Coturnix japonica: one gene and its partners. The protein of the gene in region 1 purifies or fractionates together with the protein of each later gene. This does not show direct contact. Links are inferred from orthologs where the notes say so. Each region holds a gene or a part of one and is shown in the gene's direction. Other genes may lie near its edges.

Region 1 (3,746 bases):
GAAAGCATGTTGTAAGGCTATTCTGTTTTGATAAGAGACCCTCAGCAAAAGAAACTCAAGAAGGAAAAGGCATGAGTGGGGTTAACAAACATCAAAGAAGCCAGGGCCTTTACACAAGGCTGCGTAGCCTTGCTCTGTGGGTAGGCTGGGATGGAACAGGCAGGTGTCAATGTATTCCCCCTCTCCTTCCCCAGTAAAGACAGGATGCTGAACTTATCCCTATCCTGAGACTAAGAGATGCTCAGATGGCTGAGGAGGCAAAAGTGACAGGGTTGGTACCTATAAATTACTTTTAATAGCCATTCTCCTTCTAAGCAAACCTCAGTGAAGGGAGTTTATCAAGTGGGCAAGTGAGGAAGGTGGTGGGGGAAGTCAGAGGCTGCCGAGTGGGCTGTGGTGATGCTAAAGGATACTAGATGGCAGCAGAAGCCACGGGATGGATGGTGGAACGCCATTACTTGAGATAGATGTGTATGAATCACCTCCTGGAGGGATTACGAGTATATACTGTCTGTGGAAATAAAATCTACGGCGTAATTAACCCCAGTGATGCTAAGGAAGAATATCTGCTCACCCATAGCAATCAATTGCTGTTAATGCCTCAATTCTTTGCCCAGATATTGCTCTGCAAAGCAAATGTGATGAGCAACAGTAACGAGGGCTGGAATGACTGTGGGGTGATCTCAATTTTTCCCACAGCATTAGGAAATACTGCTTCTGTTTAGAACTCCTTGGTCTAAATTATACTCGTTATCACGGGGATGAACTCTTTTATTTTTTAATTTTGCATGTGAAAGTTGCTTTTCTTGTTATTGTTATTGTTATTGTTATTTGTTGTTGACTGGAGGAATGTAGACCGCGTCCATTGGGAAACTGGAGGACCGATGACCATAGATCTTGGAGGACTGGCGGCGCAGAGCGGTAAAAGCAAAGCGACGCCACTACCCGCGTTCTAAACGCATGCGTGTTATTGCCTGGAGGACCGGAGACCATAGAGACAGGCGGAGCAGAGAGGTCAGGGGCAGGACGCGCACGCGCAGTTGTCATCTGAGGACCTACGGAGCGCGATGGGAAGGGCGGATGAGAGCGGAAATGGTGGGCGGAAGCGGAAGTCCACCCAAGTGAGGTCACACACTATGGCGGCTCCCCAGCAACGCCCCAGGCAGCGCGCCCCGCCCCCGTTGCTAAGGAAGTGAGGTCACGCAGTATGGCCGCTCGGGGCCGGAGTCGCTGAGGGCTCGGCGTTGTGCTGAATCCGCGTCCATCCTTCCCTGCAGTTCCGAGGGCGGCGTCGCTCTCCTCGGCAGCACCGAGCGGCGGGACCGGGGCCGCGATGGCGGCAGGAACGGCGGGGCTGTGAGATAGAAGAGCGCCGGCCTGAAGGGTGGGAAGGGAGACGGAACCGGGTCGGGGCCGAAGCGAAGCGCCGCCATGGAGCTGAGGGTCGGGAACAGGTACCGGCTGGGCAGGAAGATCGGGAGCGGATCCTTCGGAGACATTTACCTGGGTAAGGAGCGGGGCTCAGTGCGGACCCACCGGGGGGGGCTATGGGGCCTCACCTCGTCCTGACGGAGCTCAATGGCCAACGCTGCGTCGTGCCTCGGTGCCGGCACAGCGCGATGTTCCCTTCGCATCGTGTCCTAATTTAGGCAGCGCTGGACTCCTGGATGATTCGGCTGCCTCGTAACGTTGGTGGTTGGTGACCTTGGGCGTCGATATTTGTCTGTAAAAGGGGAAAAGATCTGGGGAAAGAAGCACGAGCATCAGCATTAAATGTCACCGCAGCGCACTGGGTTAAATCGCTGTCACAGGGATGTTGCTGTCTGCTGTAAGGCCTGAAAGAAATATCACACAACTCAGGGATGACAAGTTAAAAAATGCATCAGATCCTCCATAAAAATGAGAACAGCTCAGCTCTGCCCTGACTTGAACGCTGCCCTCTTGTCTTAAGGCACGCAATCACTGCTGTGATTTCTGTGCGAGTGTGAAGACTGTGGGATAGAAGTGCCTTTACCTGCTCTGTGTTGTAATGGCTCACTGCTGATGGTTCAATGGGCTGCATTGAAGGTTGTCGTGGTATTTTAAATCTCTCAAACTGCACAAAATGGATTCAATGTACAGAAATAGGTTTTATAGATACTGATGTTTGTGCTGCCACATAGAAACAAGCGTTTGGTGTTTGGAAATGGAGGTAACATAGGGAAGTAGAACACATAACTGGAGGGGAGGAACTTGCAGGCATTAAAGTAGGTTAAATGGACATGTCTAGAGAGTGGAGGCATCCCTAGCTCATGTATGTTGTATTTAGTGGTGTACACAGGGCATACATGTATTTTTCTTGTAGGCAATGGTACCTTTTTGTGTTGCAATGCACAGTTGGTCTTCTGAAATAATGTGTCAGCTGAAGCTTCTTGCTTACAGGTCGTGAAAGGCTGGTTATCCATAATATCATCTTGATGAAGAATCCAGCCATGTTGTTGTGATGGGATCTGTGCTCTCTGTGTGTAAAAGAATGAAGGGTGCTATGAGAGAACGTGGTGACACACAAAATCTTCATTAGCAGCCATTAGTGCTTTAAGGCAGCAGTTAAAATCGGAACAATCTTGCTGTGATTTGAGGTATTCCTACTAAAGATTTGGCTTCTCTAAATTAAATGGTGACCAGTAGAGTTCTAAAGTGCAAGTAGAGTAAAGGCATGCTTCGTAATCCAGATTAACTGCTGGGTAGAAGTTAAACAAGTCAGTTGTTACTGTCTTATGTATGGAAGAGGGCTGGGAAATGGTTTCATCTGTATGTATCTGTATGTATGTATTATGTATCCAGCCCACATCAGGAAAGACTTTCAGGTCTCAGTATTTCTCTCTTTATTCCTGCAACTTTTGGTGCAAGAATTCCTAATCCTCAGATGTTGTCCTTTTTTATCCCTACATTCTCAGTGTCGATGTACAATTAGCTCTTACTGTGAGCACTGTGCGTGCCTCGAATCTTGTTCTTCTTATCCTTAAGTAACCAGCATGGATTGATAATTACATCACATTACAAGGGTGATTTCTGAGCCATCCGCTAGCAGAGAATGGTTTGCCTTAAAGATCCAGCTCATGGCACAGTTATCTGTTTCCAAGGGAAAATGCTGTGTCAAGATCTTAAATATTGTGGTCTTTTGTAGAGGGTGGTTTGCTTTGCCAGCCGCTGTGTGGCAAAACAGAGGCTTAAAGGATCTGTGCTTCTGGTTAAACCAAATGTGTTTAACAACAAATAGGCTCTGCTTGGTCGTTCGGGTGGTGCAGTAAGGCAGAGCCATGTACAGTTCACTTCTTGCATTCTTGCAGAGCTCAGGATTAATAGGTTGAAGTACAATCGCTTTCTGATAGCTCTCAATACGTTTGTAAGCTTCCATCTGTTTTGTGCTTGGGAGAGAAGTGTTACAGCTCTTCTGGGCTCATGTAGCATAACAGGGTCCGTAGCACAGAGCTCTGAGATGCTGTGGTGAATGAATTACCACAGGGAGTTTAAAGGAAAGAAGAATTGAGTGTACCTCCGTCTTATGAGGTTCCTATCTAGAAGAAAGAAGAGCATGGATGCCCAGATATCTTATAGAGTAGCAAAGATGAGCAGTGTTCAGGAAAAGAATCAGGGTAAGCATCTGTGTTTGGCTCCACCCACAAGGTCAAACAGACAGGAGTCATGAAGGCATTACAGTCATTACATTACAGTGTTTTCATGACTGTTTCACTACATCTCTTTTC
Region 2 (3,647 bases), on another chromosome or scaffold:
TTGCCCTCAGTTCTCTATGGGCAGCGATGCTGTAATGGAGCTGTTGTTCTGTGTTACAGCCGGGCTGCTGCCATTGCACACTGTAACAAGGTGCCCAAATGAGAGCTGGACTTGAAACAGTGTCTCCAGTCACCCTTTGTCTAAGAGAACAAGTTTCTTAATAGCTCTATTGGGACATTTTTTGTGTTCTATTTGAACTACACGTGTCATGAGAAACACCGCTGGGTGCGGGTGGCTCTGGGCCGTACCCACACGTGCAGCTGTTCACTCTCAGCCTCCTGCTCCCCATGGTGAGGCTGTGCCAGGCCCCATCCCGCGGGCAGTGAGCTCTGTGCTGCCTGAGGACCCTGGGATAGCTGCAAAACGAGGGCAAAGTTAAAGATCAGCCTGTGACCATGGAGCAGTAATCAGCTGCGATGGTGCTGCAGCATATGATGCTGTTTATGATTAGGCAGCGCTGTGACACGAGGCAGATCGCTGCCCGTTGTACTCTACTACTTGTCGCTGCGTTTCACCCGCAGGGCCGGCCGAGCCCTGACGGCCCTTTGTCGTAAAGCAGCGGCGGGACAAGGGCAGCGTCCGGCCGGTGCATCCCGGGGCACGGCGCCCGTCGGTGCCGCGCAGCGCCAAGTGCCCGCTCCGAGCCCGGCGTTCCCCCGCGCCACGCAACAGCAGCTCCCCATCAGAGCAACGTATCAGAGCTGCTCCGCCGTACCGCGGCCTCGGTGCGGGATCAAGAGAGAACACGGGCCGGGGCTGCGGGACTCCATGTGTCGGGACTCCATGTCTCGGGACTACAAGTCCCAGGAGCGCGGTGTCGCCGCCCGCCGCCTGCGCAGTGCCGCGCCGCGCCTGGCTCGGGGCCGCAGCGGAGCCGGGCGGCGGCGGAGCCGGGGCCGGGTAGGGGAGAGCGCTCAGCCCGCGCGGCCGGGACCGGCGCTCGGATCAACCCCCGGCGGTGCGGGGGAAGGGAGCGGAGGGGAGGGGAGGGGAAGGGAAGGAGGGCGAAGGCCGGGCCTGACCGACCGCTCTCCGCTTTTACGGGGAGCCGAGCGGGACGCGCGGCCGGCAGCGCGGCGAGGAGCAGGCCGACACGCCGACACGCCGAGGTGCCCGTCTCGTCCGCGCTCCCCGGGCTGGGTTTGGTCTCCGTAGCGCCGGGCGGGGGCCGCGCTCGCAGTCGGCGCCGTGGGAGCCGAGCGGGCCGCGCTCCGCCCGCAGCCCCGCTGCCATGTTAGCGCCGCGCCGCACGGCGGTGGTCGCCGATCGGGAGCGCTCCGTGCCGCGGCCCTCGGCGCTCCGTGCTGCGGCGGGACGGCGCCGTGCCGGGCTGCGGGGCGGTGTGAGCACCGGGTTTACGGGGTCCGTGTGACGGAGGTTTAGAACTCGTAACTCGGGCAGCGTCGTGACTTCCTTTTTTCGTTACGGATAGAGGCTTCGCGCCGGAGGACTTTGGTCAGCAGAGCGGCTTCTTGCAAAGTCACGGCGGCGCGGTGCGGAGCTGCGGGCTGTGCTGCCAGGAGCGGGGCGGGCACACGGCTGTGCCTCGGGTGGGAGCCGCGCCTGGGGGGTCTGAGGAACCACGCTGCTGTAATTGGTGTCAGCTGCGCTGGGGGCTGCGGGAAAAGGGCCTCAGAGCGGCTGTGTTGTGGTGGGCTCTGGGACATTGCAGGTGCTGTATGTGTGGGGTTGGCTGTACGGTACATCAGGTCCTGGAGAACGCGTGCTGCTCCATAGGGCAGGCAGCTCTGCGTGGTGGGCTGCCGAGCTCGGAACTTCAGGTTCTGCGCTTCTGCCTGGGAGTCAATTAGTGTGACTCATTGTGTAAGGGGAACAGCTCTTTCTAACAGCACGAGCTGCTGGAGCAGCTTTTGGCAGAGTTACGTGCCCCTGTTGACTCTCATAGACCACAGTTATGCCACAGCTGACTATTTAGTAGGCAGCTGAGCCTATGTGTTCCCGATATGTCCTTTTGATAAGAGACCCGAGAAATGAAGTGCTCATTGCAGACAGGTCTCGTGTTCAGTGTTAGTTGTGCAGCAGCCACTGAGCAGAAACAAATTTGAGGTACGAGTTTCATGTTAATGTTGATTAGATAGCTGGGTTGCAGCAGATTGGAATGCATTCTGCACGTTGTGTGTGTTTTGATGCGGTGGGTATTGTAATGTGAGGGTTCAGCAGATAAATCCTAAGTCATGGTGAACTGAAAAATGCTTGTTTTTTTAGCTCAGCTTTGGGAGGTAGGTTGCTACCTTATGGAAAGAAGGCTTGTTTGTTGTCACTATAAATATTAATGAAGATATTTTCATCTGGGGTAAATTAGCATGAAGCTATTCAGGTTTGCTTAGAAATCCTTTCTTAGTAAGTTGGAGTGATCTCAGTTTGGCCTTGCCCTGCCCTGCCTGCAGTAGATCTGCCCAAACTTGCTGTGGAAGCTGAGTCTTGTTTAGCCAGATGCAGGAAGAACAAATAACCCTGAGCAGGAAACGTTGGAGGAGGAAGAAGAATTTAGTGTTCTGTGGCAGTATGTGCTGCTTTGCTTACTCTCTTTTCTGTCAGCTGATCTGCAGAAATGTGTAACAGAGGTGCCACTTGTTTCTGTGTGCCGCAGTAAAAAAGCACACACTCTATGTACTGCTATTCAGCGCCCAGAGATTAAAGGGAGTGCTTTTAAACTCGAGAAGCAATCGATGTCTGTGTTTACCGAAGGTGTAGATTGCCTTGGATTCTGAAAAACTTTAAGGCATGCTGATAGTAGGGCAAAACATCTTAGATACTGTCAGCTCACACAGTCTGCTGTGGGGCATTGTGAGGTGAAATTGAGTTGCTGTGATAAGTCTTCCACTTAGTAGCTTATTAAGAAGTCTTAGAAGAAATGAAGGGTTTTCCTATCAAAATGAAGATACCAGAATTGAAAAATAGTTTGCAGGTAGCAGGAGTTATTGAATATCTGGTGTTTCTGCAGATGCATCAGATAGTTGGATTTCTGAATTTCCTCCTTCATACAATTACATGCAGACATCTTTTATTTCAAGTTTGACGGATGATTGTTATAAAGTGGGTAATTATGGGTGGCTTCCTTATTTGTGAGAAACTGATAAACAGGAACTAGTAGCAGCTGAGGTGGCTGCTGTTCTGTCTGCTCTGTTACCGCCTGCTGCAGTGCATTACCAAATACGTAAGTGTGGCTAATTGCTTCTTAAAGCTCTTGTCCTGAGCGCTGGCATGGCATGAATGCTGGGCAGCGTGGGAAGGTTAAAGAATGCAGCTGTTGTCTGCTTGCACTGATCATGAAGAGAAGGGTTTTTTGGAGGGGAGTGGTGCATCATATAGGTATATTAATGATAGAGTAGTTTCCCCTTTCAAATATAGGCCATGTGAATACCATTGTGTAAAGAGACTGATAACGTGTTAATGTTGCTTAACTAGGTTGGTTGGTTTGTTTTTGACTGTGTTCTATGCTTTCTTTAGAGTGAGTCTGAAGGCTTCTGAAGGTCCATGTGCGTCACAGCTCCAGCTTTCCATCTCCAGTGTTCTCAGACATCTGCCAGACACGGAAGGTGAACACCCACTTGTTTGCACTGATACTTGCTATGCTTGCATGACTGCAGAATAATTCATTTTTAAAGAGCTGGTAATAGGAGTGA
Region 3 (3,746 bases), on another chromosome or scaffold:
AAGGTGTCCTCCCTGTGTCTGTGGGTATTTCTGTGCCTTATACTTGCTAAAATTACTCTGTTGTTGGTCTCTAAAATGCTTTTGCAAGGCAAAACAGTTCAGAGCGTGCCAGGTGTTGAAGGTTTTGTGTGTTCATTTCTCCCATGTTCACTGTTTATAACACACAGAATGGAAAGGATCAGGATAATTGAATAAATCTTTTTGACCTCTTTCAGTATAGCAGCTCTAACTAAGCAGAGTCCAACACGTGCTCAGAGTGCTGTTAATATCCAGAGTTCTGTTTTCTTTATGGCCATACATCAGAACTGGTTGTTCTTCGGCTGTGTTCATCCTGCCCACACAGGCACTAGGCTGCAGTCCCCACTGGGTATCACTGGGCTATTCAGGCAACGTCTGACCCAGAACATGGCGCTGTATTCCAGCTGTGGTAGAGGAGCCAACGCTGAAGGAGCGTGTTCTGACCTCACCAACACACTGACCTCCACCAGGACAGAGATACGGGTTACACAGCAGTGCAAAAGCCGCACAGGGCAATAACCCTCACCCCATCCACCCACTGCAGAGTGTGCAGGCCCAACCCCACCAGGTGTATCTTATGTGAGGAAAAATAACGTTAAGGACTGTATATTGTATTAGCAGCTTTGTGTATAAAAATGGCATTTTGGCAATCAGAGTCTAATATATTTAAAACTTTTTTTTTTTTTAATGGATATTTGATATTGTACGGAACTGACTTTGTTGTTACTGTAAGTATGAAGAGGTGGTTTCTTAACGTATTGAAGCAACGCATAGAATCTTCAATTTTATGTAAAAACTCATGCCAAAAGGGTATGTCTGACAGTATTAGCAATTGACCCGCGTCTTTAATAGAGAGAATGAATTTTTTAATTTAAAAAAAGAATATATATATATATATATTAAATTTCTTTTAATAACACAGAAAACGCTGCTGGTTCTTGTGGGGCTTCTCAGCGGTGAGCTGTGGAGATGGGAGGCGGGGCGGGCCGGGCCGGGCGGCCAATGGCGGCATTGCGCGGCGCCGTTTGGATTCAAAGGCGCTATAGAGGCGCTATAAAGGCGCTGTACCGGCGCTGTATTGGCGCTGCCCGCCCGCCGTGGCCATGGCCAACGCGTCGCAGTGCCTGGAGGAGGGCGCCGGGCAATGGCCGCCGCAGCCGGCCGGGCCGTACAGCGAGGCGCAGCGGCTGGCGCTGGAGGAGCTGGTGGCGGGCGGCCCCGAGGCGCTGCGGGCCTTCCTGCGGCGGGAGCGGCTGCCGCCCTTCCTGTCGGAGCCCGAGGTGCAGGCCATCGCGCGGGGCGCCGTGCCGCCCAACGCGGCCGAGGAGGCGGCGGCCGAGGCGTCGCTGGACGCGTCGTCGCTCACCTACTTCCCCGAGCGCTCGGATGCGGAGCCGCCGGCGCTGGAGCTGGGCTGGCCGGGCTTCGGCAGCGGCGCGTTCCGCGGGCTGACGCGGGTGGAGGCGCACTTCCAGCCGGGCGGCGGGGACAGCCCGTACGGCTGCAAGGAGGCGGTGCGGCGGCAGATCCGATCCGCGCGGCAGGTGGGTGACACACGGGACGGCGGCGGCGAGGGGGGGAAGGCAGGAACGCTCGGGTTTGTGTCATTGTGCCACGGAGATGGAGCTGTGCCATAAAGAGGCAGCACGTGGCTTTGGGCCGATGCAGAGCGCGGTCTGAAAGCCCCGCTGAGCCGTAACTGTTCCCTGGGAGTCGTTAATTGAGCTCATCGCCCAGCAGCAGCTCCTGATCCCGGCCGCAGTCCCATTGGCTCCGCTGAAATTGAAAAGCGCGGCTCCCTGCCGGGCGGGGCAGCCCGGCTCAGTGCTGCCATGTGGCACCGAGGTGAGCGATGAGCATGACACAGGTTTGGCTCAGGGGCTGTTGTGCAGGAAGAGCCGCTCCGAGGGTTCTGTGTGGGGCTCTGGTGAATCATCGCACTGCCCCATAGAACGGCTGTATTTCAATAGAGCTGTTCCTTGTCGTGTTCTTTGCACCACGGCAGCAGCCAGGCACGCTGCTCTCCTCACTGCCTGGGAAGTGCTTTTGTGGGTAAAGAACAGACACCCTGGAAATGATTGACTGATGTGCTGTTTGGTTGTGTCTGCACCCTTAGGGTTAATGTGGGCAGTAGGAAAGCTTCAGGCACTGCTGAGTTCCCTCTCACTTTGAGGGACTAAACTCTGATGAGCAGAGATTGAACCTGAAGGGAAGGCATGGAGCTGGGACAGTGGAGATAGCAGGGAAAGACTCTGCCCCAGAGGGCAGTGGGCATGGCCCTGAGCTGCTGGAGCTCAGGGAGTGTTGGGACATTGCTCTCAGCCATAGGGTTTGGGTTGGGGTGCTGCTGTGTGAAGCTGGGGCTTGGGCTCTGTAATCCTTGAGGATCCCTTCCAGCTTAGGCTGAGGTGGGTGCAATTGCTGCCTTATCTCTGCACCTGGAAGAGCCCAGCACAGAGAAGAGGGTTTTCTCTACCTCCTATAACTACTTTTATTTTGAGCTTTTCTATCCTGTTTAGCTGCTAATACTGCTAATTATTAGAACTCAGATGCTGCTGTTTGAAGGCAGCAGTATTTCCCAAAAAATTTGTGTTCTTACTGTTCAGTTTTAATTTCTTTCCTACCTCATCTCATCGGTATTGCCCTAATTTTCTCCATCTTGCTCTGGCACTTGGAGAAGTGACAGAGTGGAGAAGACCAGAGGCTGTATGTGAGGAGCACAAAAGCATAAACTAACTTATATCTAGAAATGCAGCCTGCCTGTGTTTTATAACTAAGGAATTGCCTGTTTAGGGCCAACCCCCTAAGGACAGGGCTCAGGTGGGAATGCAGAGCTGAGTCTGTTCTTGTGGGAAATGTTTCCTCTGAGCACCAGCAGTGCCACACACACAGCGCTGTGTGCCTGGGCCTTGGTGTACAGCAGGGGGTGTGTGCCAGGTGAGCAGATAGGGGCAGGTAAGTGCAATAGCTCTCGTTGCTCATCTGGCGGGACAACAGTAAGTCACGAAGCCAAACCTTTGTGTCTGCACCCACGCAGCTGTGTGTTCCCAAGTTAAAGGGCTGGAAATCTGGGAAATGGTGTGTGGTGTTGCTCTGAATGGAGAGACTGTTTAGAAATGTAAGAACGCTTTGTCTGTGGCCTGCACTGAATGAAAATCTTTCCATCTTTGGACTTGCTTGTTGGAAAGAACTCCGATGGCGAATCTGCATCTGCTTGTGAGTGGATGGGTGTTTCTTTTTTGTGAAGGTGTTGGATGGAACCCAGAATGTGCTCTTCCCAGGCTCTCATGAGATGCATTCAGTTGGCTGTGTTGCCTTGGTGATTTGTGCAGGGACAGAGCTGCCTTTCTATCATGTGGCCTGAAGAGAAAACAGGGAATGTTTGTAGATGTTCAGCTGTGCAGGAGGCCATGTGAGCCACTTCTGTCCTCTGTAAATTAAAGCCCTTGAACTGCTGCTTCTCTTTACAGGTGATTGCCCTTGTTATGGATTCCTTCACAGATATCGATATCTTCAGTGACCTTCAGAACGCCTACAGCAAGCGCCTGGTCCCTGTCTATATCCTTCTTGATCAGGACTTTCTGCCCTATTTCTTGGAGATGTGCAAAAACTTGGGTGTCTGTCCTGAGAAGGAGAATGTAAGTACTAAATGTGATGGAGTGGAGGTGTTTTGTTTTTCCTTCTGCTTTGGTTTTGTACATCAGAGACACCTCTGTGCAAATCATCAG

Evidence for each region. Proteins that work in one complex are often made in the same cells at the same time.
Region 2: the proteins of CSNK1D (region 1) and GAPVD1 purify together in Homo sapiens (affinity purification with mass spectrometry; 5 studies listed by BioGRID and IntAct, counting the BioPlex papers as one, with this or other methods). This does not show direct contact. The link is inferred for Coturnix japonica from reciprocal best matches to the Homo sapiens genes CSNK1D and GAPVD1.
Region 3: the proteins of CSNK1D (region 1) and protein FAM83D-B-like purify together in Homo sapiens (affinity purification with mass spectrometry; 4 studies listed by BioGRID and IntAct, counting the BioPlex papers as one, with this or other methods). This does not show direct contact. The link is inferred for Coturnix japonica from reciprocal best matches to the Homo sapiens genes CSNK1D and FAM83D.

Annotation. Positions count from the first base shown.
Region 1 is NC_029533.1:4,228,399-4,232,144, forward strand, and holds the start of CSNK1D (casein kinase I), read left to right. Parts: upstream 1-1,175; 5' UTR 1,176-1,431; coding exon 1,432-1,507; intron 1,508-3,746. UniProt on the Homo sapiens protein: Essential serine/threonine-protein kinase that regulates diverse cellular growth and survival processes including Wnt signaling, DNA repair and circadian rhythms. It can phosphorylate a large number of proteins.
Region 2 is NC_029532.1:8,084,716-8,088,362, forward strand, and holds the start of GAPVD1 (GTPase-activating protein and VPS9 domain-containing protein 1), read left to right. Parts: upstream 1-827; 5' UTR 828-900; intron 901-939; exon of another isoform or gene 940-958; intron 959-985; exon of another isoform or gene 986-1,109; intron 1,110-2,081; exon of another isoform or gene 2,082-3,178; intron 3,179-3,471; 5' UTR 3,472-3,560; intron 3,561-3,647. UniProt on the Homo sapiens protein: Acts both as a GTPase-activating protein (GAP) and a guanine nucleotide exchange factor (GEF), and participates in various processes such as endocytosis, insulin receptor internalization or LC2A4/GLUT4 trafficking.
Region 3 is NC_029535.1:3,273,365-3,277,110, forward strand, and holds the start of protein FAM83D-B-like, read left to right. Parts: upstream 1-997; 5' UTR 998-1,121; coding exon 1,122-1,562; intron 1,563-3,488; coding exon 3,489-3,656; intron 3,657-3,746.